Linked DNA regions of Rhinolophus ferrumequinum. The protein of the gene in region 4 purifies or fractionates together with the protein of the main gene of each other region. This does not show direct contact. Links are inferred from orthologs where the notes say so. Each region holds a gene or a part of one and is shown on either strand. Other genes may lie near its edges.

What was found.
Region 1: the proteins of HDAC6 (region 4) and PKM purify together in Homo sapiens (affinity purification with mass spectrometry, with the first as the bait; 4 studies listed by BioGRID). This does not show direct contact. The link is inferred for Rhinolophus ferrumequinum from reciprocal best matches to the Homo sapiens genes HDAC6 and PKM.
Region 2: the proteins of HDAC6 (region 4) and ACTB purify together in Homo sapiens (affinity purification with mass spectrometry; 3 studies listed by BioGRID, with this or other methods). This does not show direct contact. The link is inferred for Rhinolophus ferrumequinum from reciprocal best matches to the Homo sapiens genes HDAC6 and ACTB.
Region 3: the proteins of HDAC6 (region 4) and SQSTM1 purify together in Homo sapiens (affinity purification with western blotting; 6 studies listed by BioGRID). This does not show direct contact. The link is inferred for Rhinolophus ferrumequinum from reciprocal best matches to the Homo sapiens genes HDAC6 and SQSTM1.

Annotation. Positions count from the first base shown.
Region 1 is NC_046289.1:97,339,762-97,347,680, reverse strand, and holds the start of PKM (pyruvate kinase PKM), read left to right. Parts: upstream 1-4,911; 5' UTR 4,912-5,134; intron 5,135-7,919. UniProt on the Homo sapiens protein: Catalyzes the final rate-limiting step of glycolysis by mediating the transfer of a phosphoryl group from phosphoenolpyruvate (PEP) to ADP, generating ATP.
Region 2 is NC_046307.1:41,580,111-41,587,596, forward strand, and holds the start of ACTB (actin, cytoplasmic 1), read left to right. Parts: upstream 1-4,479; 5' UTR 4,480-4,500; coding exon of another isoform or gene 4,501-4,643; intron 4,644-4,894; coding exon of another isoform or gene 4,895-5,285; exon of another isoform or gene 5,286-5,297; intron 5,298-5,303; 5' UTR 5,304-5,309; coding exon 5,310-5,432; intron 5,433-5,576; coding exon 5,577-5,816; intron 5,817-6,253; coding exon 6,254-6,692; intron 6,693-6,777; coding exon 6,778-6,959; intron 6,960-7,137; coding exon 7,138-7,281; 3' UTR 7,282-7,486. Other genes in the region: translation initiation factor IF-2-like, read right to left, coding at 4,501-4,643, 4,895-5,285. UniProt on the Homo sapiens protein: Actin is a highly conserved protein that polymerizes to produce filaments that form cross-linked networks in the cytoplasm of cells.
Region 3 is NC_046307.1:2,982,383-2,989,500, forward strand, and holds the start of SQSTM1 (sequestosome-1), read left to right. Parts: upstream 1-4,113; 5' UTR 4,114-4,169; coding exon 4,170-4,380; intron 4,381-6,245; coding exon 6,246-6,341; intron 6,342-6,806; coding exon 6,807-7,036; intron 7,037-7,118. UniProt on the Homo sapiens protein: Molecular adapter required for selective macroautophagy (aggrephagy) by acting as a bridge between polyubiquitinated proteins and autophagosomes.
Region 4 is NC_046284.1:85,813,067-85,820,450, reverse strand, and holds the start of HDAC6 (histone deacetylase 6), read left to right. Parts: upstream 1-4,372; 5' UTR 4,373-4,494; intron 4,495-5,004; exon of another isoform or gene 5,005-5,049; intron 5,050-5,075; exon of another isoform or gene 5,076-5,334; intron 5,335-5,569; 5' UTR 5,570-5,599; coding exon 5,600-5,692; intron 5,693-5,776; coding exon 5,777-5,905; intron 5,906-6,039; coding exon 6,040-6,128; intron 6,129-7,384.

The DNA.
Region 1 (7,919 bases), on a different chromosome or scaffold from region 4:
GGCACAGAGGATAGTGATTTGCCAGCAACTGACCGGCAGCCTGATTCCAGAACAGCTGTTCTAGTTCTCTGCTCTGTAGCTCTTCAGATTTCACTAAGGTTTTCATTTAATCCTGACAACTAAAGGTAGAAGGTAGGTTTTCTTTAGGGACCTTAAATAACGTGTCCAGGGTCTCACAGCTGGGTAGTGGCAATCCTGAGTTTTCACCAGAGCTGCCCAACTAGGACCTGAGCTCTGAGCCATTCTTTTACTTCCCCAGAGGTTCTCAAACTGTTCCCACTGACGTTCCAGCAACTGAACCCAGGTGCTTGGTTACTCAAATGGTATTACAACATTTTTGGTCTATTTTCAGAAAATGTTAATGGACTTTTCTCAGCTGTTAAGAAATTATACATTCTCAGCTGCTTAAGAAATTATAAGCATTTCTTATAATTTTTTTTATCAGTGGCAGATGACATAAGTTCTAGTAAATGATGGAACAAGAAGTAATGAACAGGTAGTGTATGTTACCAGAAATATCCAAATACCTGAGCTAGTCTCATGGGTGTCAATTTTTGTTAGAACATTGCATAATGGTCTTTTTTTATGCCAATAAGTGTAATGAAATTACAGCACGTCCTCCAATAACGTCTTTATAATGTTGATAAGATGCCAAGGGAACTTAACTCTTTATATCAATTAACTTATGATAAAATGGGTCCAGTTATGCATTGTTTCACTTAAAGTCACAAAGCTACCATGACACTGAGGACTTACTGAACCCCATTTTGTAGTGTCCCATATAAAAGCAACAGGACTTTGAATCTGAGATGTTTGAGAGCCATACACAATCACATCTGAAAAAATTCAAAATATACCCATATATGGTTGTAAAACAAATCTAATTAAAACCCTATTTAAAAAAAAAAAAGAACACCCTATGACAAGAATGCCTCCATTGCAGAGAAACTTGCAGGGCTTCTGGAGAGGAATTCTCCCACAGCCTGCAGAGGGATTTGGGAGCCCCTTTCCCTCACCCAGGCCTGGCTGGCTACCTTGGAGGTGGGGAGGTGGGGCCTGTGAAAGCCAGGTCTGAGCAAGAGATCATCCTCCTTCAGAGGCCAAAGCTATTACACATCCTGCACGCAGAGGTTGCCAGTGGCCTCTTTTCATATAGTCCCAGGCTCAAGCAGCCTTACGGCATTTAGACCTGGACATGCTTCCTTAGGGCTACGGTCAGGGCCAGGAAAAGAACTATTTACCTCACAATTTGTTCCAGGTGGAGAGTAGATGGCTGTGATTTCTGGATTGAGAACACAAAAACCCCAGAGAGTTTAACTTTCTGCTTCTCTCTGATGGTAATTTTCCATCCATGCAGGGTGTGGCCTTGACTCATTTGTGGGGAGGATGTGGCCATCCATAGGGGAAGAGCCTTCTGCTTGATTCTGCCTTTCAGACTGGCCAGTGGGGAGAGAGAGAAAAGAGTCTGGTGCTGAGTCATTATTGGGTTACTTACCAGCTTACTTACAGGATGGATTCTAAGATGGAGGTTTGGAAGTTGTCTCAGCTTCTGGGCCCAATTTGGGAGTGGTGGCAAGGAATTCATGAGTCACAATTCCCCAGAGTCCTCCTCCCCCAGAAAGGATGGGAATAAAGTAGGCTTCAATTCATTCGAAGGGGCATCATTCTCTCTGGAGGACAGGACTTTCCGTAAGTATTTCAGAACCCCCCTGCAATGGGGCCAAACATGCCACCCTTTAAGTTAAAGCATTGCCCACCAACATTATCTAGGACAGAGACCAGAGTGTCCTCAGTCCTAGCCATCCTTTCCGGAATAAGTGGGTCAGATTAGCTGGTAGCCAGTGAGCACAGAGGGGGAGACTGGAAGCATGTTGCCAAGGAAAAAGCAGACTGGTGAACTGCATGCAGCAAGAGGACTTCCGGCGAAGGGGGCACTTGACCCATTACTCACCGATGCCTTTCTTGGTGGTCTTCCAAATCTTGATGACTTTTGAGGGATAAGATCTGCTTACATTTGCATCTTAAGGAGCCTGAACTCTGGCTACACTTGTAGGGAAAAGGGAGAAAGCATAGGGCCTCAAAGGGAGGGTTTGGCGGGCAGGATTAACCCACGCTAGGGAGGCTTTTCTTGGGAGCCCTAGCAGTCCTGAGCTAGAGAAAGATTGCTGGAGGTCCCATCAGCTGATAGAGACCCTGGCTGAGGTTGTACTTCCTCTGGAATGAATAAGGAGTCCTCAAGCTTCTTCCCTCTTCCAAGTGCTGGTGGGGCATTTCTTCAGGAGGGGGGACCTAGATACACAGTTGCATTCAGAAAACATTCTTCACTGTTCCCTTTCCCTGGAATGGCCTTCCCATACCCATCTCTATCCTAACCAACCCTCCATGTCTCCTCCATGAAACCCTCCCTTTCCCACACAGATAGCCTGTTCTCTCTGTATCCTCAACGCCAAAGAAACCAACTTCCTCTTCCTTCTAGACTTTTTCGGAGGGGGGCGGGGAGGAACTCTTGTGCCACCCTGGTGGGATTGAAGAGATGTTGGGAGTCTGAAGGCAGGCACAGAATAAATTTAAAGATCTACTTGGTCTGGCTCTGGAAAGGGCATATAAACTCCAAAGTGATAAACACTTCTGCTCTAAACCTGCCACTGAGGGCCTATGGGCTGCCCTGGAAATCTGGATTGTCCTGAGAAATAACACTGCTGTTTCTGGCAGAGGCCAAGAGGTCACGCACGGACCGTCACGTCTGTAACCAGGGCCAAAACTCATCTCTGGGCTGCAAGATTGGGTTCACTGTTGTTTGCTGACACACCTACCCCACCAAGGACTCCAAATGACCTTCGCAAGTGAAGCCATTAAACTCCAGATTCTGTGGTTCTGTGGCCCAGAACCCAGAGAGCACAGCAGTATATATCCTCACTCACAGCCCAGTCCAGTGAGCCTCGCAGCTACCACGCCAATCTGGCCACGTCAGTGAGCATGGAAGGCTCTGGAGGAGGAGCCTGGCTGCGAGGAGAATCTGTGTCCTCCCTCAGCTTTCCTGTTTCCTGCACTCCTGGGGTTACTTGTTGCTGGGTCAAGGGAGTGAAGATTAAGGAGGATGGCCAACAGAAAGGCAAATGAGTTACTAGAATTCAGAAAGGCGTTCTCACCCTAGTTACAAGGACAAGCGTCCAGGACTAGTCAATTCCCAAGGAAAGGATGCCTCTTGGGCAGTGCTGTGCTCATTCACACCCAGCATCTGATCAAACCCGACCCTGGGAAACAGGAATTGTCTTCCATTTATTTACAAGGAACTGGACTCACACAGTATAGTATACAATCACAGGGACTGATGAGTGGAATTGGAACTCAGATATGATGGAACCTACCTAAGCTTTCTTCTATACTATGCTGCTTTCCGCAAAAAGACAACACTTTAAGCGCAATGTGACAAATGTGCACTATGCATCTAACGTGAGCAGGATATGCTGGATTTGTCTCTGCCCGTTTCATGGACAGCATTTTATAACAGCTGACCGACCTCTGTCACTGAAGGGCAATAGTTTGCCACCAACTCATCAGTTTAATAGCTGTGCATTTCAATTTTGGGAATGTATCTCGATTTAGAACTTTAAAACACAAGGTAGTACAGCACTGGCCTGCCCATCCCCCTCCCCGTGTTGTCCTCCCCTGTACTTAGCTCATTCTTAGCTGAGGGGCCCTGTAAGGGCCGATCATGCTATTCCTTTTTCTCTGGGTAGGAATGTCATTATCCCTGGTGGGGTATGGCCCGTTTTCCTCTCCACAACTTCGTGTGCTCTCCCTACCTCCATGAACAAGCATTTACTTCCTATCTACGACTAAAGAGACCAGAAAAGGCTCACAGAAGAAATGAAATATTTTATCTCAAACAGAAATTTACTTGTAGGCTGTCACTTTCTCCTCCCAGCTTATCTGGGCTAGAGGAAATCATAATGAAGACCTGTGATTCAGCTGCCGGCAGGGTGTGTGCCTGAGCAGGTCACACCCATTGGTCCCATTTTCCAGGAAACGGACAGAACCTAAAAAGAACAGCCTTCAGGATTTTTAATGAAGTAACATTGTATCTGCTCTCAAAACTTGGCTGAATGAAGGCAAGGGTTAACAGCTGTTTCACTGATTACTGTTTTCAGTGGTTGTGGCTAATTACCGAGAAATTGGAAAATGCCTTGGAGAAAAACAATACTGATTTAAATACACAAGGTTGAAAACAAGCGCTGACTCCTGCAAAGATAATGGGCCCTCACCTTCTGAGTATTTCTTGACGATCAGTTCTGCATTAATAGTAATACTTTCTACTCGCTTTCTATTTCCAGGCTCGTGCTCTGCAGGATTCCAGCCCCTACTAAAGTATTCCCATGGCCCCAACTTGTCCTTCCTTGTTCCAGCCCTAAGAACAAAGGCCTCCCGCTCCCGCTCCAAGCACCTCCCGCCCTCCCTAGTTCTCCCTACCCCCACTCCCGGCCCGACCTCCAACCATCCCATGAAATCTCCGAGCTCCCCAACCTCCTGTTCGGCCCAGTCCCCGAGGTGTGCGCTGGGGTGGGCACCCGTAGGGGTGGGACGTCGCGGGGCGGCGCTGGGGGAATGCTACCCCTGGACCCATAAATCTGGGAACCGCCCGAATAGGCCAGGGCAGCTGGGGTGGCCTGGGCCGAGGGTCAGGAGTACAGCCCTCCTCCAGCGTTCTAAGTTGGCGGCAACAGGTGGCCGAGGCGCCCGGGGGTCTGGGAGGAAAGGACTCCGAGGTTCCGAGGGCGGGTCTTGCCGCCTCCTCGCTTCCCCATTGGCTCCTCACAGAGTGCGAGGATCGATTTTTATGTACCGTATCCTTCCGCCACGGAATGTAGTCCTTCCCAAAGGGCAACCTAACTGTCTGTTCCGGCGCCGCCGCACTTCCTACAGAAGGGACTGCTCCCCTCGGGGACGCAGGGGGCGGGCCGGGCGAGCGGGGAGCCAGGATTGGGTGGGGGGCGGGGCGGCGGAGGGATTGCGGCGGCCTTGTAGTCGGAATAACCTTGAGGCTGAGGCAGTCGGCTGCACGCAGAAGCGACGCGCGCAGAGCCTCCTGACCTCTCTGCAGTGTACCCGCAGCCCGAGCGAGACCACACCGGAGGTGAGCTGGAGGGAGACAGGCTGAGCCATCCGTCCCCACCTGGGCTCCATCGCCCGGCTAGTGCGGAATCTGGCCGGTCTGCGCACACAGGGCACCCATTCCGGGGCGGCGCGGGATCCTGGGCATCTTGTACCCGGTTGGGGTCGGGAGAGAGGAGAAAGAAGCTGCTCGCGCCTAGGGCCTGCTCTTCAAGGCCCCCAGCTCCTGTTTCTTCCAAAGTCAGATGACTCAGCCAGATCCTCTCCTGCCTCGATCCCTACCCCAATTCTGGTGCGATCCTCGCCTCCCTTCCCACATGCCCTCCGAACCTCCTTTCCTCTCCTCCCTCCCCCTTGCTCTCTTGCTCGCCTCCTCCCCTTGCCCCTTAATACTGATCCATTCGCCCTTCGTCTTCCACCTGCCCGTGCCTCTTTATTCTGATGCTTTCCTTGTAACCTCCGCGTTCCTCCCGCATTCAGGTTCCCGGTGCCCACCTCGTGCCGCCAGCTACCCCATTCATGCGCTTGTTCCGCCCCTCCCCCCCACTCCGGTCACGTCCGCTCCTCGGCATCCTTCTCTGCGCGGTGCGGCCCTCGCCCCTCCCACTCGGGTCTAGTCACGTTCACGCCCCCTCCCCCGCCCATCTGGTCTCGTCCCACTGCTACCCCGCCCCCCAACTCGTGTCCCCCGTCTCCATCACGGCTCCAGTCTCCGACTCCTGGAACCCGTGTCCGGGGTCACCGACGAAGGGCAGTGGTCTGCGGGCCGGCAGAGCTGGGTCGGGTGCGGCCCGGGATGCAGCGGTGGCCCGGGTTACGTAACCCTGGGCCTTTCCGGCTGCAGGGAAAGAAAGGGTTGCACCTGGGTGCTCCAGATTCGATGCGGTGACCCAGGCGCTGCGCTCGCTCCGGGAGCGTGGCGGGGCTCCATCCCGCCGCGGCGGAGCTGCACGTAGTAGCCGGCGCCCGGGACCGGCCCCGCTCCGCCCCGCCGGACGACTGGCCTGCGGACCCGTTACCGCCCAGCCTCACCTCGGGCCTGGCCAGCCAGCCGTCCGTACGGCGCGGAGGCCTCCTCGCCTCTGCTTCACGTTGCTTCACAGATGCGCCCAGATTGTAGAACGCGGAGGTCACGGGGTGGGTGGGAGTAGGTGTGGGTAGCGGACAAATAGGTCTGGTGGTTGGTGCCACGTACCACCTTCACTCAATAAAAACTGTTCAGAAGCTGTTTGCGGGGAGGGGGATGGAGACCCGGATAACTATACTGGCCATTGCCCACAGAGCTCACAGCCTCGTTAGAGGACGAACATACCGGTAGAAGTTATCACTGGTTAGTGTGGTGAGGCAGGTACGCCCTTCCTGCTTGGGGAGGGCTTGGTGACAGGAGGCCTCACAGGGTGGCATCACACAGGGTTTGAAGAAGCAGGAAAGCACCTGCGGTCTGAAGGTTATTTAAAGGCACCCTTGGCTTCTTATCCGTGTGCTTCATTCAAACCCAGGCCATCGATCCCCTGCTATGCAAGTGACCTGATAGGTGACGTCGGTGTATGGTGGATAGAGGCATTGGGAGGTGTCAACAGGCGTTTAGAATCAGGTTTGACTCATACTGACAGGAGTGATGGAGGGCCTTCAGCCCCGGGGCCTGTTTGCCATGTGTAAACTGAGTAACATTTTCCTCATGCTTGTTGAAAGGATTTGTCTCTATGCACGCATCTAGGTGTATGTGTGTTGTAGTGTCTCATCTCTGGCGAGAAGTCCAGCAGAAATGCCTCTAAATGTGTTCTTTTAGTCACTGAGCACAATTAACAGGTAACTGAGCATAAGGGTTAATCTTGATGCCATCCCCAAACACACACTCACAGTTCCTTTTTGGAGGCAGGCTCTAAATACCAGACATCTCCTGGAAACCAATTCCCTCAGGGATCCTGGTACAGTGTTCACAAAGTAGCTAATAATGTGACTTTGTAACTGCACTTCAAACAGGTCTCCTGAGAATGGGGACCTCTAGACAAAGGAAGGGGAGGGCATTTCAGTCTTTGGTGTTTGGCTATAAGCGGAAACAGACTTACAACCCCAAGACTGAAATCTTCCCTACCCGCCAGCTGGGTTCTAGGATTCGCTCAGCCAGCTGGTAAGTGTGAAGTTAGGACTGAAGGCAGGGGGCACTAACCCTCTATTGGCTGTACTGAGGGTGAGGCCACTCCCTAGGGGAACAGCATTGTTAGCAAATAATTTGCCCTCTGGTTGTTTGAGGATGGTGCTGGGAATGCAGTGGCGCTGTTCTGAGGGGCTGGTAACCCATCACCAGGTCTGTGGGGAGGATGACTGAACCTCTCAACGTATCAGCTTTTGAGAGAATCCTCTTCATCAGGTGAGCGGGAAACATGTAATCTTTGCAGGTGTAAAAAGTCCCCTCTCCCCTTTCAGTGAGTCAAATAACAAAGCATGTATTTCCTGCAGTTAAAAATGTCTCAACTAAGTGAAAAATGGTTGTTCCAGGTCCCCAGGCTCTCTGCTGCCCTACGAGCTGAGGTGCAGTGTGGCACAGCCCTATACCCTGGTAATGCAGTCTGCGCCTTCTGCAGTGGGCATGGCAGCCTCATGGGATAAGGGCTGTAGTGGACTTGAATAAGGTATGAAAGAATGTCTTTGAACTCATTTCTGAGTGACTGGACTTGAGGCAAAATATATGGGTGTTAATTTCTTCCTGTCCAGTACAGCTACTCTCATTGTAAGCACTGTGTTAGAAGTAAATAATTTTAGTGTTGAATTCATAGTTGAACCAAGAGCGTTATTGCATCTTTAAG
Region 2 (7,486 bases), on a different chromosome or scaffold from region 4:
AACCTCCTGGAACCACAATTTTGGGGAGACCTATGAGGCCAGGATGCCTCAGCCTCCCCACACCCCCAGACTGCTGGGAGGATCTTTAGGCCCCAGGGATTTTCTCCTTTCCAGCACTAGGAGTCTGTCTGAGGCACCTCAGTTTTCTCATGTGGAGAATGGGGACAACTAGCCCCCCCAGGAGGAGGGTTGGGGAGAAGGAAGGGCTAAGCTGGTGTGTGTGTGGGGGAAGCCCAAGACACATTGTTTTCTATTTCTGAAAAAGTCAATCAAATAAGCAAGGCTGGGAACTCCCCAGGAGGACTGGGCATTTCTCTGACTGCCCTGGGGGACTGGAAGAGAGAGGGTAGTTCTTAAAGATTTTTTAAAACTCTCCCAAGAAGTGTCAGCAGTTCCCAGTTTCTCCAGGGCAGGGATCCCCCTTTCACAGATGACTCCATCAGGGAGCAGGGAAGGCCCAGGGCAGGCTGGGCCTGAGGGCCCTGGGAGGGGCTCTGGCTAAAGGCCAGGCCTGGGTGGGGACCAGGCCCCTGGCTGCTGCCCAGAAGAGCACACAGGGCCCAGCCCCTCCCTTCTGCCTCTGAGCCTCACTTCAGGGGCTGATCACCTCGGGCTGGTCACCTCGTGGGGGGACCTTCCCTGACTGCCCTTTAAGGAGCTCCCTCCTTCCTAAGGAAACCTGCTGCTTTCCTTCATAGGCCATCAGACTTTGTTCTCTGCTCTCTTGTTTGAGGTGTGTCTCAGGGATCACACCTGCTTTATTCAGGGTGTTACTCAAAACTGTTCGGTGCTGTTGTGTTCTGGAAGCATGCCTGGCTGGTTGGTGCTGGTGCGTAGGATGCAGGAGCAATGTGATCCAGGAGGTTTGGCTCTTGGCTGTGCCCTTGCTGTGTGATCCTGGCTGGGTTGCCTCCCCTCTCTGAGCAGGAAAGCTACAGCTGTTATGGTAGAGGATGGAGGAAGTCATGGCAGGCTTCCTGGAGAGGGCAGCCTGAGAGCTAGCCTTGAAAGCTGAGGTCAAGTTAGGCAGCAGGCAGAGGAATGGCAAGCCCAGTCCCTCCCAGAACCTCAGGAATCCTGAGGTCCAAAATCTCCTCTTGAGACCATCCTGGGAGCAGAGGAGGAAGCAAGGGAAAGAAGTGGCAGAAAAGAACAGGCTTGGAGCCTCAGGACCCATTTCATTACTGACTAAGGGCTGGTGGTTGTTCTCTCTGGGCCTCAGGAGATAAGAGCTGGCTGGGGTGGGAGGAATTTAGACTTTGGAGCAGCCTTTGGACCCAGTCCCTGGGGGCACTTCAGGGGACACTTTACCCAGGGAGGGGCAGTGTGAGGCCTGGTAGGGGGTGGGGGACTGGGCCTAGAGTCCTTCACACTGGACTCTGGGCCTGGGTGTCTCACCAGTCCTGCCTCAGTTTCCTCATCTGTAAAAAGAGTGTGTTTGCTGGAAATGTTTCATCCCTTCATTCAGTTACCCTTCACTGAGCACCTACTGTGTGTGTGTGGGTCTTTCTTCCACCTCTCAGCCCCACCTCAGTTTCTTCCTCTGAAAAATGGAGCTGGGGGTCCCCACCTGGTGGGGCGGCAAAGGGGCTCCAACACTCAGGGCAAGGGGACTGTTTTCCGGAAGAGGGTGAGGGAGTGGGCCTTTGGAATGGACTGTAAATGTCCCCTGGCCTGGAGGCCTTTGCAGGGTGGGGGAACCACAAAGAGAAAAAAATCACCAGAAAGGCAGGTGAAGTCCCCATTGGCTGAGCTAGTGTGGGCTGTGTGCCTGCCCCAGTGACAGCTCTGAAACTCCCTGCAAGGGCAAAGTTCCCAAGCGAAGAACCTGTTCACTTCCTCTCCCGCTGGTCTCCTCCCCCTTCCTCTGGCCTACTCCACTTCCTCTTTTCCTCCTCCCGCTTGCCTTTTCTCTGCAGCTCCTCCCCTCCTCCAAGGCTTGTGGCCCAGTGCCCACCGCCAAATACCCTCCATCTGCCTAGGGTCTTTTGTAAGGGCTGAGGAAGGACACCCAGGCACTCACTCATTCAACAAAGCAGAGCCCTGGGGTGGGTATAGTGGATGTGATGGCGACTCCGGAAGGGTTTGCTGAGGATGGACCCCCAGCTCTATTTTTCAGAGGAAGGAACTGAGGTGGGGCTGAGAAGGGAAAGAAACCGCACACACAGTAGGTGCTCAGTGAGGGGTAACTGAAAGGGGATGAAACATTCCAGCAGAGTCTGGTGGGGTAGGCTGAGTTCTAGATGCTGCCCCAGTGCAGTTGCTTTAAGTGGGGGGAGGGTGCATGTTGCAGATGCTAAAGGGCTCCCACTGAGGAGGGACCTTCTAGGCTGGGCCTTGAAGGATGCATAGGAGAGCACCAGGAAACGGCTGCTACAGATGGCCGGGATTGTCCCAGTCTCAGGTCAGGTGTCCCAGTCTTGGCCAGCCCTTGGTTTAGAAGAGGTGAGGTGGCAGCACAAGTCCTGCTTGGGGACCAGGTCTGCTCTCCACCTCGTGTCGCTTCCTGGAGCCATCCCAGAGTCTCCCATCCCATGCCCTGCAGCCCTGGTCCCAGCCTACCCAGCACCCCTCCAGGCTCAGCGAACAGCCAGAAGTAGCCTCATCAACAGGCAGCAGAAAGGGTCACCCCCTAGTCCCTGAATCACAGGGTTGGCAGGTCCCAAGGTGGCTGGCCAGATGCCCGTGACTGAGAGACACAGGCCAGGGACAGAGCAGTCTGGTCCTTGGGAAGCCGGGAGTGGACAGGCTAGGAATGTCCACCCAGGGCGGGGATGGTGACTGGGGAGCTGCAGCGAGTTTCTTGGCAGTTATCTGGGAATGCTAGCATGTGGCTCTGAGCCTGTGGGCTCTGCTGTGCACTAGGTGACGGTCACCCTTCCCACCTGGTTGTGGCCTCCACAACCTTCAGAGACCTGCCACCAGCCTCCTAGGCAGTGGGCTGGACCAAGCCACCTCTTCCCTGGACACACATTCCACTCCCATATATGGACTAATTGGTCACTGGTTACAACACTCTCTCAGTGAGCACCTATTATGTGCTGCAAAGCCCTGGGCAGGCCTGGCTGGAGACAGACCAGTGGTGACAGGTCAGTGCCCCCACCTAAACCACCTTTCCCATTCTCATTCCTGTGACAATGCAGCTTCTTGTCACCACCTCTGAGAAGGTGCATGCTCCTCTAGGCAGAGCCACACAGATGTCCCTCTGGGGTCCCACAGCCCCTGGGCTTCTGTCTGCCATACCCTGAGCACTGTTGGCCACCCTCTGGATACAGGCTCTGCCTGCCTAACTGGCAGCTCTCAAAGCAGGGAACCACCCAGAACAGGACACCCAAGTTTTGCCTAGTATCTGGAATGTCTCAGGGCAATAAAGAGTGACAAGGAGAGGGTCTCCTCTGAAGGCAGCTGCTCTTCAGCCACTGTCCCTTATGCCACGCCCCCCCAACCCTAACTCATCTCTGGCTCATTGAGTGCCTTTCCCCAGGCTTCGGGGACCTCCAGATGGTCCAGGAGGGCAGTTCAGCTGTGGCTACACATGACAGAGGATGGATGGGCTCTAGAGCTGTGCTGAGCAGTCCTGCCTGCCTACCAGTGCCCACCAGTGTCTGGCAGCTGCCCTGGACACCGGCCTAACCTCCCAGGCCTGGCCTTGTCTGGGTGTGACCAGGCAGCCCTGAGAGGTAGCCTGGCTCCATGGGAACAAGTTTCTGTGCTCTATAGAACCCACCTCTTCCCAGGCCGGCAGCAGGGAAGCCTTGGAGGCCTTTTTACAGGCAACTAACTTCCAGCCACTGGCTCCTGGGGGCCTGCCCTGTCCCTGGGGACTGTGGCCCTGAGGCCCTTGTTAAGTAGCTACAAGCCCCCTGACTCCCCCAGGCCGTATCATATTTCGCAGCTCCAGGTCTCTGAGTAGAAACGATCCCCATTTAGCAAGGTGAGCACCCCGGGCCAGAGGTACCCTAACCCAGGCTTTCTGGGTAGTTGAGCCAATGTTGGGAAGAGTGGATGGTGACTCCCTAACCACCCCTCCCCCACAACTGCTCCTTAAGCATGCGTCCACAGCAACCAGGGACCCTCGCATCTATGTTGACTCTTGTGCCCACGGGGGAGCGGGGAGCTCACGGCACATGTGACATCCACACCCGGAGGGTCCCGAGGTGGGGGACACGGAGAGACCGGCAGGCCGAGTCCAGGCCTGGCTACGCCTGGCCGGACTAAGCACTGCCCAGCGGGGCGGTGGCCCACGGCTTGCACCTTTCATCCGCGGGCCCAGCTCCTAAGAGCGGCCAACGCCAAAACTCTCTCCCTCCTCCTCTTCCTCAATCTCGCTCTCGCTCCCAGTCCATCTCTCTCTTTTTTTTTTTTTTTGCAAAAGGAGGGGAGAGGGGGTGAAAAAATGCTGCACTGTGCGGCGAGGCCGGTGAGTGAGCGGCGCGGGGCCAATCAGCGCTCGCCGTTCCGAAAGTTGCCTTTTATGGCTCGAGCGGCCGCGGCGCCGCCCTATAAAACCCGGCGGCGCGACGCGCAGCCACTGCCGAGTCCGCGTCCACCCGCCAACACAGGCCTCTCGCCTTCGCCGCTCCGCCGCCGCTGCCAGTCTACACAACCTCCAGGTAAGGCCCCAAGCCGGCAGGGCGAACTGACTGGCGCCGGGCCCCGGCCTCCCCCGGGTACACAGCGCCTCTCGCCTCGGCCCCGAGGGCAGCACTTGAGCTTGGGGAGTGGGGCTCGTGAGCCTCCCAGGTCGGGGCCGGGCTGCGCCCGGGCCGTGCGCCCAGGGTGCTACCGTCGGGGCCGCGGGCCTTCGTCGGAACGGACAATTAGCTCCATTGGGCCACCGGCTGCTAGGGTGGGTGGGTGGGTGGGCGCGGCGGGACCGCGGGCCGGGTGGGGGCTGGGGCCACCACTGATCCTGCGCGTGCGCTTTCGGGCTGGCCGCCGCGGTCGGCCGGAAGGGGTGGGTCGCCGCGGCGCCAAGGCGCATGCGCACATTTCTTGGCCGCGCCGTCGGCTCCCGCGGGTGTGGCCTCCGCGCGCCTGGTCGGCGGCGCTTTTTGAACGGGGCAGGGGCGGGGCCGGCGGCTGGGGAGGGGCTGGAGGCCTGGCTTCGTGCCGCGCGCCGCGGGGCCGTCTCTAACCAGCGTTTGCCTTTTATGGTAATAACGCGGCCGCCCCGGCTTCCTTTGTCCCCAATCTCGGCGCGCGCCGGCGCCCTCTGGCGGCTCGAAGGCGCGTTTTGCCGGAAGTGGGCAGGGCGGGGGCCGCCCCACCCGACGCGGGCTCATGGTCCCCTTTCCTCGCAGCTCGCCATGGATGACGATATCGCTGCGCTCGTGGTCGACAATGGCTCCGGCATGTGCAAGGCCGGCTTCGCGGGCGACGATGCCCCCCGGGCTGTCTTCCCCTCCATCGTGGGGCGCCCCCGGCACCAGGTAGGACGCCAGCCTCGGGTCTGACTTGGGAGGTGGGGTCTCTGAACGGGCGGAAGATGAAGTCGGCTCCTCCGCAGGGGAGGCCTTGGGCTTTCTGCGTTGGGTCGTGCCCATGCTGAGGGCGCCTTGCTCCTCCCTCCGCAGGGTGTGATGGTGGGCATGGGCCAGAAGGACTCCTACGTGGGCGACGAGGCCCAGAGTAAGAGAGGCATCCTGACCCTGAAGTATCCCATCGAGCACGGTATCGTCACCAACTGGGACGATATGGAGAAGATCTGGCATCACACCTTTTACAATGAGCTGCGTGTGGCTCCTGAGGAGCACCCTGTGCTGTTGACTGAGGCTCCCCTGAACCCCAAGGCCAACCGTGAGAAGATGACCCAGGTCAGTGCTCTACTGGCCTTCCTCGGGAAGCCACTCCTTCTTTTCTGGCCCTTCTGTGCCACGCCTTTTCTCACTTGTTCTTTCTTCTGCCATTCTCCTAGGATTTTCTTCTCTGACCTGAGTCTCCTTTGGAACTCTGCAGGTTCTATTTGCTTTTTTCCAGATGGAATCTTTTTCGTGTTTGGTTTTCTGACTAGGTGTTTAAAGTATAAAGTGCTGTGGGTGTAGGTACTAACACTGGCTCATGTGGCAAACCCAATGAGGATGGTGTGAAGTGGCCTGGGAGTGTGTATTCAGTAGGTGCACAGTAGATCTGAAAATCCCCATCTTGGGGTCCCCAGCACACTTAGCGGCGTTCCTTGCACTCTGCATGTTCCCAGTTTGGCCTGGCTGTCTGATGGCTTCCTGAGAGTGAAGTGGCCCATCTTTCCCTACAGATCATGTTCGAGACCTTCAACACTCCAGCCATGTACGTGGCCATCCAGGCTGTGCTGTCCCTGTACGCCTCTGGCCGCACCACTGGCATTGTGATGGACTCCGGTGATGGGGTCACCCACACTGTGCCCATCTACGAGGGGTACGCCCTCCCCCACGCCATCCTGCGTCTGGACCTGGCTGGCCGGGACCTGACGGACTACCTCATGAAGATCCTCACAGAGCGTGGCTACAGCTTCACCACCACAGCTGAGCGGGAAATTGTGCGTGACATCAAGGAGAAGCTCTGCTATGTCGCCCTGGACTTCGAGCAGGAGATGGCCACTGCGGCCTCCAGCTCTTCTCTGGAGAAGAGCTACGAGTTGCCTGACGGCCAGGTCATCACCATTGGCAATGAGCGGTTCCGCTGCCCCGAGGCGCTTTTCCAGCCTTCCTTCCTGGGTGAGTAAGGCTTTGACCTTGCCACCACACAATGGTCACCCTTGTGGCCACACTGGAAGCTAAGTCTGGCCTCTGTTCCCCTCAGGCATGGAATCCTGTGGCATCCATGAAACTACCTTCAACTCCATCATGAAGTGTGATGTCGACATCCGCAAGGACCTCTATGCCAACACAGTGTTGTCTGGTGGGACCACCATGTACCCAGGTATCGCCGATAGAATGCAGAAGGAGATCACCGCTCTGGCTCCCAGCACGATGAAGATTAAGGTGAGTGTCCGCGCAGCCTGTGCTGGCCTGGTCACATGGAGTGTTAGAGAGTTCCCATGCTGACTTTACTGTAGGATGCAGCCACCTGTGGTTGTCAAGGCAACCTTTCTGGGGTAACGCACAGCCCTTGGGGCTGTTCCATCAAGGTCCTTATGCTAACTGTCCTGTTCTCTCCCAGATCATTGCGCCCCCTGAGCGCAAGTACTCGGTGTGGATCGGTGGCTCTATCCTGGCCTCGCTGTCCACCTTCCAGCAGATGTGGATCAGCAAGCAGGAATACGACGAGTCCGGCCCCTCCATCGTCCACCGCAAATGCTTCTAGGCGGACTGTTACTTAGTTGGTTACACCCTTTCTTGACAACCTAACTTGCGCAGAAAACGAGATGAGATTGGCATGGCTTTATTTGTTTTTCTTTGTTTTGTTTTTTTGATTTTTTTTTTTTTTTTTTTTTTTTTTTGGCGCTTGACTCAGGATTTAAAAACTGGAACGGTGAAGGTGACAGCAGTCGGTTGGAGCGAGCATCCCC
Region 3 (7,118 bases), on a different chromosome or scaffold from region 4:
CGCTCCCTGGCGAGTGCCACGCCGGCCTCTCTGCCCCAGCCCAGCTAGGAGCACGCCGCACCCTTCTTCCGCGACTCGTCCCCCCCTCTGCCTTGAGCGGCTGTCATCCAGTCAGCCGGGCCCAGGCGCCTGGATCCATCCAGGGCCACCGCGCTGTCTCTTCACAGCCCCCCGCCCTAACACCTCGTAGCGCTTCCTTTTATCCTTCCAGAACCTTCCGCTGTCAGGCCGGCCCTCTGCTTTGGGAGCCCCCAGCAGTGCCCGCCCGGGGTAGGTGTCGATCAAGGAAGGGGAGGGACCATCGGATACCAGTTGTGACCCTTGTCCGAGTTCCCTTTCCCCTGGGCTGGGAGTGAGGGGTGTCTTACTTAATGAACAGCCTTAGGGGACCTGCGGGCGGGCGGCCTGACCACCCCAGTTCCGACCAGCGGATCCGACGCGCAGAGCGAGGCGCGCTCTTTCGCTCGCTGCGGGAAACCGGAGCCCCTGCGGGTTCTCGGGCCAGGACCCGACACAGGGCCAGGACTCCAAGGATGCGCTGGGGGAGAAGGGGCTGGATGAACGACGCGGCTCCAGCGAGGTGTGGACGGGGTCGGGTGCAGCCGCCCTTCAGGCGAGCAGCCGAGAAGCGGGCCTCCACCAGCACCCCTCCTCCGCCCCTGGCCTGAGCTCGGGCCGCTTGCGCTCCGGGCCGCACGTTTTTTCTAGGCCAGGCGCGCAGGACTGGGTCCCTAGCGCCGCCCGTCCGGCTTTGTGTTTCTGTGGATGATGGGCCCAGGGCCTTCTGATTTGTATTTGCAGACATGGCTCCGCGTTCGGCCTCGGTCCGCCTCCCTTACCTGCATCAGCATTGCGGAGAGCCATCTCCACTGTCCAGTGAACATGGTGTGTTGATCACCTAGGGGGCGGCCGCTCCCTCAATGCCCCCAGGAGCGTGCAGGCGTCCATTCTTCTGTCCGTGCCAGTAGCCAAGCCCAGAATGGCTGCTCCCAACCTCCAGCAGCTGTGCAGGAGGCCCTGGTTCTCTCATGACCCTGACAACTTGGCAATACCTAACTTTCCATCTATGTCTCTTAGTGGCTTTATTTCATTTCCTAGATGGCTTGAACCCCTTTTCTTTAACCCCATGCCCCAACACACAGGCACATACACACATAGCTCCCAACACCTCTTGGCTAGGCAGGAAGGGCTAAAACGAGGTAATGTCCAGTTTCTGGGGTTTTCCTGAGGGAGTGGTCAGGGAAAGCCCCACCGCCATTTAGGATGGGGGATTGCCATGTGAGGCAGGAGAAAGGGTTCCAGGCAGGGGGAGGGGCCAGGAGAAAGTCACCAGGGGGAATGGGTAGGCAATATTAGGAACTGAAGGCTGGGAGTGTGCCCTCTGGTGTGAGGGAGTGGAAAGGAGTGGCAGCTGGGTCCCAGGGCACTGTGGCCTGCAGGCCATCCCACCCATGACCCTGTCCCCCCTGTAGAAACAAACTGATCTCTTGGGCCTAGGTCTGGAGGATGTTGATCCCTTGTGATCCTCAATCTCAAGGGTGGCTGTGTCTCTGGCTGGCACAGCACCCATATCTAGGCTTCAGAAAACGATTGTCAAGGGATGGGATTATTTTTGGGAAGGAGGAACGGGGAACTGAGGAGGTAGTTACAGCGCACCACACAGGAATAAACCGTATCAGAGGACCTCCTGCCACCCCTCCCTGCACCCAGTGTCCCCAGAAACTCTCAGCTCAGGTTTCTTCCCACTCCCACCATTGACTGTAGTCTCCGCCTGCCAAGCTGATAACCCCAAAGGCAACTAGCACACCTAGGGGGCATCACTTGGGGGCATCAAGTCACCGCACTCCAGCCCCATTCAAAGACGAGGAAACTGAAGCTGGTCATTTGTCCAAAGATGGCAGGGTGGTAGATAGTTGGTCTGATTCAGGCACCAAGCTGCCCCCCTCACAGCGTGTGAATGCCATGCCTAGAGGGTCAGATGGAGGCCAGTGGGCACAGGGGAGGTTGGGGGAGCTCTCTGCAGCTCAGGGAGGGGAAGGACAGAAGGGGACTTTGGTGGGGACAGGGTCTAGTTCGGTCTGGCCTTCCCCGCTGCCAGCTTCCTGCCACCCTGTCCTCCGAGGGCTCTTTTGGCTCCAGGCTCCCTCAGAGTCCCACTCAGCTGCTCCTCACCGCTGCTGCCAGGCTGCCTGGTAAGATGTCATCAAGACTGGTAGCATGGAGCCGGGGATTCCCCTGTTATGACGGCTGGTCATGGGATGCTGACTCACTGCCTTCTATCCAGACCACCTGACCACGCAGGGGCTGGCGGAGAGGGCCCTGCCAGGGGGTTCCCCTGCCGCAGCAGCGTGTTTACCTTCCTGGCCTTGGGGGAGGGTGGGGGAGGGCCTATACTCTGTAGCCAGGCATGCTGGGAAGGCAGCAGCTGGGGCTCCACAGGGGCAGGAGGGGGGACATCTCCAGGCCTGCTTCCCAGGGGCCATTTCCTACCACCCGGTTTCACCCTGAGTTCTCCATCCCTCCCTGCAAACCCACCACGGTCCCACACACGGAGCCAAATGGTCAGAAAGTCGGGAAGTCCTGCCAGTGGCCTCCATTTCCGCCACTTGTTTGGACAGGGACTGCGCCTTAAGCCCTTCCTGAAACCCGGGTTCCCCAGAGCCACAGGGCTCTCCTTGTGTACCCCACCCACTCAGCGAGGGACGCTGCAGCTCTGGAGGCAGGAAGTGGGGTTCTTGGCCCAGTGGGCCGGGATTGCAAGGCTCCTAGGCTGCTGAGTCATTCCCTCGGACACCTGTGGGCCGCACTGCCCCTTCTCTGTCTCCTGACCCTGTCTGCATGGCGGTGGGCAGAGGGTCACTTTTCAGGCTCACAGAGGGGGTGTAGGGAGGGCCTGAGAGGGGACCGTCCTCTCTGCAGAGCTGCTACAGCCTTGCCCACTCTGGAGCCCTCTGGGAAGGACCAGCCATACCTGTGGACAGATCCCTGCTGTGGTCCCACAGACAAATCACCTTTGCACCTGACTAACCAAACCCACCCAACCTCTGGGGATGTCTGTGTTTCCCATCCCTTGAGGTTACCTGCTCCCATCAACCCCACCATGAAAGGATATGACTTTGACTCAGCGGGCCTTGAGCTCCTATTCACAGGTCCCCAACTGGGAGGACTCATAGGGTGACACACCTGCTCACCTTCTTCCACCCCCTCCTCCAGGCCTTGTGAACAGTTCACTTTTGTCACATAAAGCACGTTTCTTGGTTCCTAGCTGGGAGGCTGTTGATCTGAATCCTGGGTTGTCCATGAGGTCAACAGGCCTGAGACCCCCACAAGCCCTTGGGCACCACCTGCTGAACTGAACCCTGTGCTGACAGGCGGTGTCCAGGCACCCATAGGCAGTCTCATGGGCTGCAGTGAACATGCGGTGATGGGGTGATGGCTGAGGCTCCAGGAAGCCTTAGCTGGCCCTCCATCCTGGTGGGGGTGGGAGGTACTGTGCTCTTCCAGCACCTTTAAGACCTACCCCCTATTAAACTGGGAGCTCTTCTGGTGGTCGGGCCTGAGGTGGGGGTCTGTCCCTCAAACCAGTAAAGGGCTGTTATGTGAATGAGGGGCTGTTAAGAGTGGCAGGGTGGGGACAGCACCTTGAGAGCCAGTTTGTTCTGGCATGCCGTGCCCGCTGAGTGCCCATGAGCCTCCTGTTTTCGGGTCTCTGTTGTCCCCCTCCCTCTTATGTTGGGCATCCGCGGCGGCCTGGTACTGCTCTGCTGAGTCACTGGCCAGGCCCAGGCCTGGAAGTGGTCTGGGGCGGGACCCGGGACCTCTGTGGCTCCATTTCCCCAGGTGCAGAGGCCCGAGTCCAGAGTCCAGATGTCGGAGGGCGGGATCGGCCTTTTGGGGCTCCCGGTGCGCTGGGGGAAGTGAGCAAAGGGGTCGAAGATGAGGGGGTCCGGGAAACCCCGAGAGAATGGTGGGTGCCGCGGCGGGGAGTGGGCAACTGGCGCAGGGGGCCGGCAGGGCGGCTCGCGCGCCGCGTCCCGGGCGCGGGGGCGGGGCGTGAGTGTACAGTCCCCGCCCCCAGGAGGCGGAGCTGACTTCCAGCTTCCCCTACAAAAGCCGCGCGCCCGGGGTTGCCGTTGCCCGGTTAGGCTCCTGTTCACAAACGGCTGGAGATGGCGTCGCTCACGGTGAAGGCCTACCTTCTGGGCAAGGAGGACGCAGCGCGTGAGATCCGCCGCTTCAGCTTCTGCTTCGGCCCAGAGCCCGAGGCGGAGGCGGAGGCGGAGGCCGCGGCGGGCCCCAGGCCCTGCGAGCGGCTACTGAGCCGGGTGGCCGCCCTGTTCCCTGCGCTGCGGCCCGGCGGCTTCCAGGCGCACTATCGCGGTGAGCGGGCCGGGCGTCCTCAGGAGCGGTGCGGGACCCTGACGCAGGCCTTCCCTGTGGGGCGGGTGGGGGCCCCTTCCCTCCTAACGGGCCTGGTGGTATCTGTGGGGGTCTGCTGTGGTCGCTCAGTGGGTGGGAGGCGGCTCACATGGTCCCCAGTGCGACCTCGGGTGCCAGCCTCAGGTGACCAGGAGTGGTGACCAAGGCCGGCCCTTGTGGGGCCAGGCGCTGCCAGGCTCTCAGAGGATCGCAGGCCTGGGGCATAAGAGGTCTCCCCTCCCCCGCCCCCTCCCGCCATGATGCTGCAGATCTTGGCAAGGGCTCCCTGGGGCGTCCTCGTCGGCTCGCAGCAGCCACTGGGTGGTCAGGCGGGCACTCAGGTTACACTGACATTTTGCTGCTGCCCAGTCTGAGCCTGCCTGTTTCGGGTGGGGGTTCATATCGTGCCCCGGGAAGAGCCTGAGCGGGCAGGGGAGAAGGGTGATGCGGGTAAACAAGTGTGTGTGGGGGTGTAGGGGACTCGGGGCTGTGTGGCCTGATGGGAGAACCCATGGCAGGGGGAGGGGAGGAGAGAGCGGGGACATACCACAGACCACCCAAGGCCAAGGCTGAGCCCAGACTTTATATTGCTGGTAGTCGGCAGAGGAACGAGATCAAAACCTTCAGAAATGTCGGTGTGGGACTAGAGTCCAGGAACTAGCCCAGTGTCTTGACTGGTGGCTTTGAGGGGTGGGGTGGGGGAGGTGTGGCTGGGAAGGAGGTGAGCAGCCAAGGCCGGCCCCTGGGCGGGGTTGTGCTGGCACCGCCCTTAGGAGTGCTGGCCAGGCCCACTCCTGGTTTGTTTTATTTTTTTAAACAACTTTATTGAGCTATAATTCACATGCCATACAATTCACCCATTTAAAGTGTACAATTTTTAGCATAGTCACCGATTTCTGCAACCATGATCATCATTTTAGAAATGTTTCATCACCTTTAGTTATCCTCCCATCCCCATCTTCCCATTCCCCCAGCCCTAAGCAACCACTAATCTTTTCTTTTTCTCTATGGATTTCCCTATCTTGGACATTTCATATAAACATATAAATGGACACATATAATATGTAGTCTTTTGTAACTGGCTTCTTATTCTTAGCATGACGTTTTCCATAATGTAGTGTGAAAAGTATTTCGTTCTTTTTTTGTGGCTGAGTAATACCCCATTGTATGGACATACCACTTTTGTTTGTCCATTTGTTAGTTTGATGGATGTGTGGGTTGTTTTCGCCTTTTGACACTGCCCTTGTTCTTATGGTCCATGCTGCGTCTGGTGGCCCACAAACCTGACCCGGCCTGCAGATGTATGATGTGGTTTGGCCTACCTTGTGGTGCTTTAAAATCATTTGAGCCAACATCTGAAAAGGACAGTACATACAAATACATAATTTTAGCTTCTTTGGGGGAGGAAGCAAACAGGTGTACTCGTCTACTTTACTCTCCTAAACCACAAGAGGCCCAAGAGCTTTGAAGGGGCTGGCCTGATGCAGGTCACGGGTGGGATCACCCATAGCTGAAGATGGGTCTGGGCCTGGGCCTGTTTAGATGCGGACCGAGGCAGCACCCTTGAGACGGAGCAGCTGGCCCAGAGGCAGCACGGCAGGAGGCCCGCTCCTCCTGTCCATACATACTCTACCCCTTGCGCACGCCTGGTGCCCGGATTAGAGTGCTCGCGTTCTAGGCAGTGGCATGCTGGCCTCAGCCCTGCTTCCCCCGCCTCAGATACTGGGCTTCAGTCACAGCCCTGCGAGTGCCCCTCAGCCCTTGTCCGCAGTGGTGTCCAGCTGAGAAACCCTGGGTGCTCATGTGCTGTCTTTTAAACAACCTAGATGAGGACGGAGATTTGGTTGCCTTTTCCAGTGATGAGGAGCTGACGATGGCAATGGCATATGTGAAGGATGACATCTTCCGTATTTACATTAAAGGTAACGGGTAGCTCTGGGGTGCTCCCTGCTGAGTAAAACCAGCTGGCTGGAGGTTATGGAGAAATGCCCCCAGTGAAGGGGGAGAGGAGCAGCGGGCAGTGCTTGCGCTGAAAAGGAGGCCGTGTCCACCACAGGGGGTGGGGCGGAGGGGCTGGCTTCACTGCTTGTGGTGCCCAGACCGTGCTGTGGGCTGGGGGCAGCTTTGGGGGCACTTGGGGTTGATTTCAGTGAAAGGCAGGCCAAAGCTATGTAGACACAGCCACCGCCCAGGTAATGCGCAGGTACTGGGAACCTGGCAGGTTCTCAGGTCACTTTGTTGCTGTCACTTGAGCAACTGAGTTCCTCATGGATTCGGTGTCTGAAGAGTGGAGCCAGGGTCCTACTGACATTGGTGACAGCCCCGTAGTAGTGACAAGGGGGACACTACGTGGGGCCCCACCTTAAGGCTCTCTACCCTCCTTGCAGAGAAGAAGGAGTGCCGGCGGGACCACCGCCCCCCATGTGCTCAGGAGGCACCCCGCAACATGGTACACCCCAATGTGATCTGCGATGGTTGCAACGGGCCAGTGGTGGGGACCCGCTACAAGTGCAGCGTCTGTCCTGACTATGACCTGTGTGCCAGCTGCGAGGGGAAGGGCATGCACAGGGAGCACAGCAAGCTCGCCTTCCCCAACCCCTTTGGGTACCTCTCTGAGGTGAGCAGGGCCTCCCTGCGGGTGGGGTGGGGTGGGTGTGGGGCAGCAGGAGCCCCCTGATTCAGCCCCGCTTGTTCTTCTG
Region 4 (7,384 bases):
CAGCTCTGTGTACTCTTGTGTGTGGAGGTATCAACACACATCGCTTCAGTCGGTATACGTGAGGGACCCCCTTCCAAGGGACAGAAGACATACTCAGGACAGGAATGGAAGGCAGGGGATGGCTGGAATGGTAGCCAACAAAAAGGTCAGATGACCAGTCTGGGACCGTGGGGTTGTCCGTGGGCCTTCCTGTCACTCATCTCTTATCTCTCAAGGCCCAGCTCAGCCTGCAGCCCTGTGGGAAATGGTAGAAAAGGAGAGGGGGAGATTAGGGGGACCAAATAGCCTCTGGAGGGATATTTAGACCCCATAGGTGGGGGTGCTCCCCGCAGTGCCAACGCCCTTCCCAGCACACTTAGGTGAATTGCTCTCCCAAAACAGAATCTGTTCTCCCATTTAACAAACCCTCACATACCGTGTTTCCCCGAAAACAAGACCTAACCGGAAAATAAGCCCTAGCATGATTTTTCAGGATGACATCCCCTGAACATAAGCCCTAACGCGTCTTTTGGAGCAAAAATTAATATAAGACCCCGTCTTATTTTCGGGGAAACACGGTAGAAGCACGCACTGAGTCAGGTGCCCTTCTAAGCCAGACAGGTTAAATGGTCAACCGAGGCACAAAGCTGATGGCACGGGGCTGAGCCCGGCTCCGTGGCTCAGCCTCCTCTCTACCCCACAGTTGCTAACAGCAAGCAGCACCACTTACTGAGTGTTTACCGTGGGTCGGCAACGGTTGGGAGGCCTCCGCTGCTTTAGTTCATGAACACCTGAAAAAAATACTCCAAAAAAGTATGTATATTCGTACTCATTTTACTAACGAAAAAGTGAGGCTGAGTCCGGATGAGTAACCTGCCCTGACCACACTGAGTTTAACGAGTAGATTTCAGATGGTGCCACCCCAGCCCGCCCCCCACCCCCCGAGTCTTGCTCACACTTACTTGGGCTGCTTTTCTCTCTCTTTTTTAAACCACTCACTCCTCAATTCACTCAGCTCTGGATTTGCTTTTGGGCTGCTTCTCCCCGGCAGCCCCAGAGATGGGGATGGTGGGACCATATATCCTGAACATAGTCATGGGTAAGCAGCTGTCCTCGACACAACAGCACCCCTTAGCGAGTCGCCACACAAGCCCGCTGCAGAATCACAGTAGTCCACACTCATTACAGGGATTGTCTAGAACTGCCCTGGCCCTGTGAAAGCCTCCTGCCCGGCCGCCCCACAGATCCCTAGCTCTCTCACCCTGCAGGAGCCCCTCATCTGAAACAGAAAGAAACCCCTCTCAGAACCTGTGCTGGAAATGTGCCTGGCCCCACCTTGTTCAGGAACCCCAAGCCTCACCCCCTGTAAGAACTGCAGTCCTAGCCTGGTACAGGAACCTAGCTCTGGAACTCTAAGGAACCTTCTCTAATTATCAACAGGAAACCCATCCTGACCCTGGACAGGAGCACCAGTCCTCGTATTGTATAGGAGGAACCCCTGTCCTGCCATGGGAATCTCTGAACCCACACTGTAAGGAAGCCCCTGAACCACCTCTTTCACAAACGCCTATCCTGACCCTCTTTCTGAGCTGTGATCTCTCTCTAGGAATCCTACCTTGACCCTGGACAGGCCACCTCTGTCCTCACACTGTACTGGAGCCCTGCCCTCCAGGTAGCAGTTTACAAATACTTCGCTCACAATAAAATCTAGTTCTAACCCACGGACCTGACTCTCTCTGCAGAAATCTCCATCCCATCTGCAACCTCTTCAGGAACCGATTGAGTTCAGGAGCCCTTGCTTCCATTGTTGGCAATGACCCCCTGACGTCGCTCTGTACAACAATCCCTATCTTGCACCCCACCTTGTAGAGTCCACAGGAACCCATGATCCAGTCTTGAACCTACATGGAAAACCCTTTCCCGACCCTCTACTTTAAGCCCAGACCTCATTCTATACAGTTACCTACAGCTTCACGTAGCACAGAACCCCCTGCCCAGACACTGTACAGGGCTTCCCATCCTCACCCCGTAAGCTCCGTTGCCGTGACCTTCTACAGGAAGCCTTGCCTACAACTGTACTGGAAACTCGAACTGGATTCTACAGAAAACCTTTTCCTGACTTTCAATGGAAATCCTTAACTTGATTGGTTTACAGAAATCTCTGACCCGATCCTTCATAGGAACTCCCAACCTTACACTTTGGAAACACTCTCCTGAACCTGTTTGGGAAACCCTGACGTGACTCTCTCTGACAGCCCTTGCCCTGGCTTTGTTCTGGAAGCCCTACCTTCATCTTATGCAGGAACCACTGTCATGACTGTGGCTAGTGGCTACTGCATTAAGCAGCGTAGCTCTGTAGAGTCTACAGAATCCTGTAGCAGGCACCACCACAGGTTTATCAACCCTGTTCTCTTCCTAAGCTCACTCACTTTCCCAGCCTCCCTTATAGTTAGACGTGGACATGTGACAGTTCTGATCGATGAAGTGTGGGCAGAGTGACATACACTACTTCAAGGCCTGGCCCATAAAAACCTCTCATGGAATCCTCCTCCTTTCCCTGTCTACCAGCTGAATAGTAAAAACTCCGAGGGCTCAGAGGAGGGCAGAGCCACAAAACAGAAGTTGCCTGGGTCCATTAATGACCAATAGTAAATATTTACGTTGGATTTTGTATGAGCAAGAAATAAACATTTGCTAAGCTCCTGAGATTCTGGGTTTGTTATAGCAGCTAGCCTAATTTAGTTCAATTAATAAGAATCTCGGCTGAATCTGGACACAAACACCTGATCCTACTGTCCACGAGTATATGAATGCAGCTCTGAACCTGTACAGAAACACCTGTGCTGACTCTGAAGCTGGATCACCTGATCTCTTTGTAGGAATAATGCAGTCTAAGGAGCCCCATCCTGAACTTGTATGGGAACCCCTAGTCTTGAGCTCTCTAGAAACAACTGTCTTGTCCTATATATAAACCCCTGCTTGGTTCAGTGGAGGCACACTAAGGAAACTATAGAAATCCCTGTCCAGAAACATTTGCTTGACCCAGTAGAAGAACACCAGAAGTGACCGGACCTTGTCCATGAATCCCTCTCCTTACACCTCACATGAAAGGAATACCTCTCCTCAGGAAGCATGGAACCTCTGCACTTATCCTGTAAAAGGATCCCAGTCAGATAAAGGAAGCCAAAGACTGACAGTCTACTGCAGGGACCCATAAATTATGGCATTCAGGACAAAGCCAGATTGCAGCCCGTTTTTACATTTTTTTAAGAGAAAGAACGGAAAGAAAGGAGAAAAGAAAGAAGAATTTACCAGAGGCCGTACATGGCCTGCAAAGCCTAAAATATTACTATCTGGTCCTGCGTCGAAAAAGTTTGATGACTTCTGCTCCACAGAAACCTCTCTTCTGACTATACAGAAAAATGGGCCTTGACACTTACAAGACTCCCTACTCTATTACTTTGTAGGCATCACAACCCCAGAATATTCCTCAGTGTGTATCATTGTATGTGTTTTCTTTGGTGTATGAGGAGGTTTAAAGGTCTTAGGGCCGTGACCCTCTTCCACCAGGACAAAAGACATATTCAGGCAGAAAGAGTGGAAGGGAAGGGAAGGCTGGAACTGGTGTTTTCAAGAGGGTCAGAGGGCCCAGCTAGTGGGTGGTGGGGCTGTCAATCTGTTTGTTAGTCAGCGATGCTGAACCCCAGACCGCTTATCTCTCGGGCCCCAGCCTACAGCCCCGGTAGGAAATGGTGAAGAATGAGAAAGGGAGATTAGGGAGACAAACCGGCCTCCTGCGGGGCTATTTAGACCTGGGGTGGGAGGGAGTTGGCGGGGGGCCGCAAGGGGGCAACTACCCTTCCTCCCAGGCACACACTTTCCATTACAACTTGGGAGCGAAGGTTACTCGGTGGAGGAGACTGACAGGGAAAGCTGCCGCCCAAGAAAAACTCCCCTCCCTGAGTCCCTTCTGTCCCTAGGCACTATTTTATCACAATTTTCCAGATGAGGAAACTGAAGCACAGAGATGTTTAGTAACTTGCCCGAGGTCACATGGCTAAGTCGCATAACCTCAGTTTCCTTATCTGCAAAACAGCCTTAATAATGGGAACTACCTCACAGAATTGTGGCTTACAGCAATGCCTGACACACAATACTTGTTATCATTATCATTTAATACTTGCCCCTACTAAGACTCCTTTCGCCCACCATCCATTTTCACGGCAAGACATTAATAGCTAACACTTGGTAAGTGCGGCCTGTGTACCACCTTCGTGAACATTAACTTAGAAAACCCTCGCTACATTTAGCATCATCACCAATCCCATTTGGCCGCCAGCAGCCTTCCTCCAGTTTCAACCCAGCTCCAGCCCGCCCGCGCCACGTCATCACAGCGCGCCGCGCGGGAAGCTGCAGGGAGGAGGGAAGACGCCCTTTCCCAACTCCCTCGCTTGCTCGCTTGCTCTCTTTAGTCATCGCACGGCACAGTAGCCCCAGATCCGGAGGGCTCCTAAGGTGACTGGACAGGGATTGAGTGACGGCGACCAGGAAAGCCAGGGAGACCGCGGCAAGGGTTGGGGGAGGGGCGAGCTTGGGTTTGAGCGCCGCGTCGAACCGCCGCAGCGCGCTTCGCGCAGGCGCAGCAAGGCCCGCGTCGCGGGCGGACGCGCAAACCCGCGGTTTGTGCGCTCGCGGGAGGTGTGGCCCGCACGAGGGGCGCGGTCCTGCGGCCCGATCCTGGTGTGGGCGGGACCTGGGCGGGCAGTAGAGAGACTTGGCCCAAAGGAAAAGCTGGCCTCCGGCTCCCACAGTCCCACAGGTCGTCGGGAATTGGGCGGTCCTAGCCGTGGGCGGAGTTTGAGAAAAGGGCTGTGCCCAGTGAATGGAGCCGAAGGGATTGGTTGGCGTCAACGGGGGGGGTTGGCGGGAGGCGGCTCCAAACTCGCTGAAGGGGCTTGGGGAAGCGACGGGGGTAGGGTTTGGCGGGGGGTGGGGCCTGGTAGAAGGAAAGGGGCCGTCCCCAGAGGGACAGGGCCTGTTGTAACAGTAGGGGCGGGATCTGGCCAAGTGGTAGGTGCCGGTGCGGCCCGATAAGGGGTGGAGTTAAGTGGTTCGTTAAGGGTGGAGTTGGGGCCGGGGTCGGTCTTGGGTCTGGGTCTGGCTGAGTGAAAGGGTGGGTGATTATCCCGGGCGATTGGATGGAACGGGCGTCTATGAAGAGGCGAGGTCTGGGCGAAGCTGAGAAGAATGAAAGGATCTGGGAATGGGGCTTGGTAGAGCGGAAGGGTTGTGATTTGCTGGAAAGAGCAGGCCCTAGAGTGGACTGAGCCTGGGGGTTAATTGCTCTTTGAAAGGGTAAGACTTTGAAAGGGGAAAGAATACAGTTAAAGGGGTGGAGTCTAGTGGAATGGGCGGGACCAGGTGAATTAGACACCCGAGTGGAGGGAGAGAGCCTTGAGAGAGGCGGAGTTTAGAAGGCAGTGGGGAGTAGGATAGCGGGAGAGATGGAGACTAGTATAGGGGGCGGGGCCTGAGAAGGGGCTGGGATGTGGGGTCCTCAGGGCACCCCAGCCCTTTCTGCACCCCTCAGAACCGCGTCAGGGGTGAAATCTCCCCGACCATGACCTCCACCGGTCAGGATTCCACCACAACCAGGCAGCGAAGGAGTAGGCACAACCCCCACTCGCCCCCCCACGACTCCAGCGTCACCTCGGTGAGGCCCCAGACCCGTCCTGATGAGGGGGAGGGGGAGCAGCCGGCCATGCAGTGGACTCTGACCCTTCTTTCTGTTTGGCAGAAGCGAGGTGCTAAGAAGGGTGCCGTACTCCGCTCCAGCCCCAAACTAGCGGAGGTTAAGAAGAAAGGCAGAATGAAGAAGCTCAGCCAAGAAACAGGGCAAGACCTAATCGTGGGCCTGCAAGGGCTGGTGAGAGTGGCCTGGCCACAATTTAGCCTCCTGTGACAATCAAAATCCTGAGGTTGTCCATCCTGGACAATATGGGATGTTCTCTCTGACTCAGGCCCTAAATCGATCCGTGTCTCACATTTTTTTCCTTGCAGGATCTGAACCTTGAGGCCAAGACACTGTCTGGTACTGGCTTGGTGTTCGATGAGCAGCTAAATGAATTCCACTGCCTCTGGGATGACAGGTGAGGCTGACTCCTCTAGGCTGTCCCCGAACCACACAAATATGCAGACTTAGAGCTACTAGCAGGAACAAATCCTTTCTTACACTAGCCTAGAGACCAGAAGCAGACGATTTAGGGAGGTGGGGCTCAGGCTTGAAAGGGTTCTTTTCATTTAGCCAGCAAATATTTATTGAGCGCCTACTGTGTGCCCCGAGTTGGTGATACAAATGTGTCAAACAAGACAGACAGGGTCCCTCCTCAAGGAGCTGATAGGTGAGTAGAGCAGATCATTAAACACCCAGACGCAGTGTGAAATGTTTAATGAAGGAGGACTTAAGACCACGGGCTTCAAGAATGTTTGATAGGGACCCTAGAGTAGCATCCAGGGTTCCCAGAAGGCATCCTTGAAGAAGCGACGTTTGTGCTGAAACAGGAGAATTCCCCCTCCCATTCGCTCACAACGTGTTGTAATTCATCAGCAAATTCTTTTGGCTCTCTGCTCGAAATGTATTCAGTATCTGACCTTTCTCCTCACTGTCTGCACTGCTACCACCATCATCACTCATCGAGACTTGCAGAGGCCTCCTCACTGGTCCCCTGCTTCCACCTTCTCCCCTGCTGTGTTTTCCACACAGCAACCTACAAAAATACGTACGAGGTGATGTTCTCTTTCTTAAAATCTGTCAAGGACAGACCATTGCCTTCCAGGTGAAGTCCAAATTCTTCATCCCGGCCTCTTAGGTTCCACGTGATCTGGCTCCACATCACCTTGGTGACCTCATGAGCTCATCCTCCCCCCTCATTCGCTTTGCTTCACTTCACCCACACTGGTCCCCTTGCTATTCTTCCAACATGCCAGGCACTCCCTCGACTCGGGTCTTTCCCCTGTCCAGTCTCTCTTCCAGAGATCCGTTTCTACCTTCTCTCCTCCCAGTTAATATGCGTATCTCAAGGAGACTTTCTCAGAGAGAGCTTTGCCTGGTCTTTCCCCTCCCCCCACACCTGATCTTCACGCTCTTCCTAACCCATGCCACTGTTTGCTCATTACTATGTTCATGTGTTTACCGGTTGAGTATCGATGTCTCCTAACCCCGTGGAAGAGTCAGGATGTCAAAAGGCTTCATTATTGAATGTAGATCTACTGTCTCCTGAGGAGCTAGGGACGTGGCCCTGGTCAAAGCAAACAAAACCCCTGCCTTTGTGGAGACTACGTTTTCGAGGCGGGGAGACAGTCCACAAACAAAAAGTAAATGGTACAGTGTGTTAGAGAAGTGCTA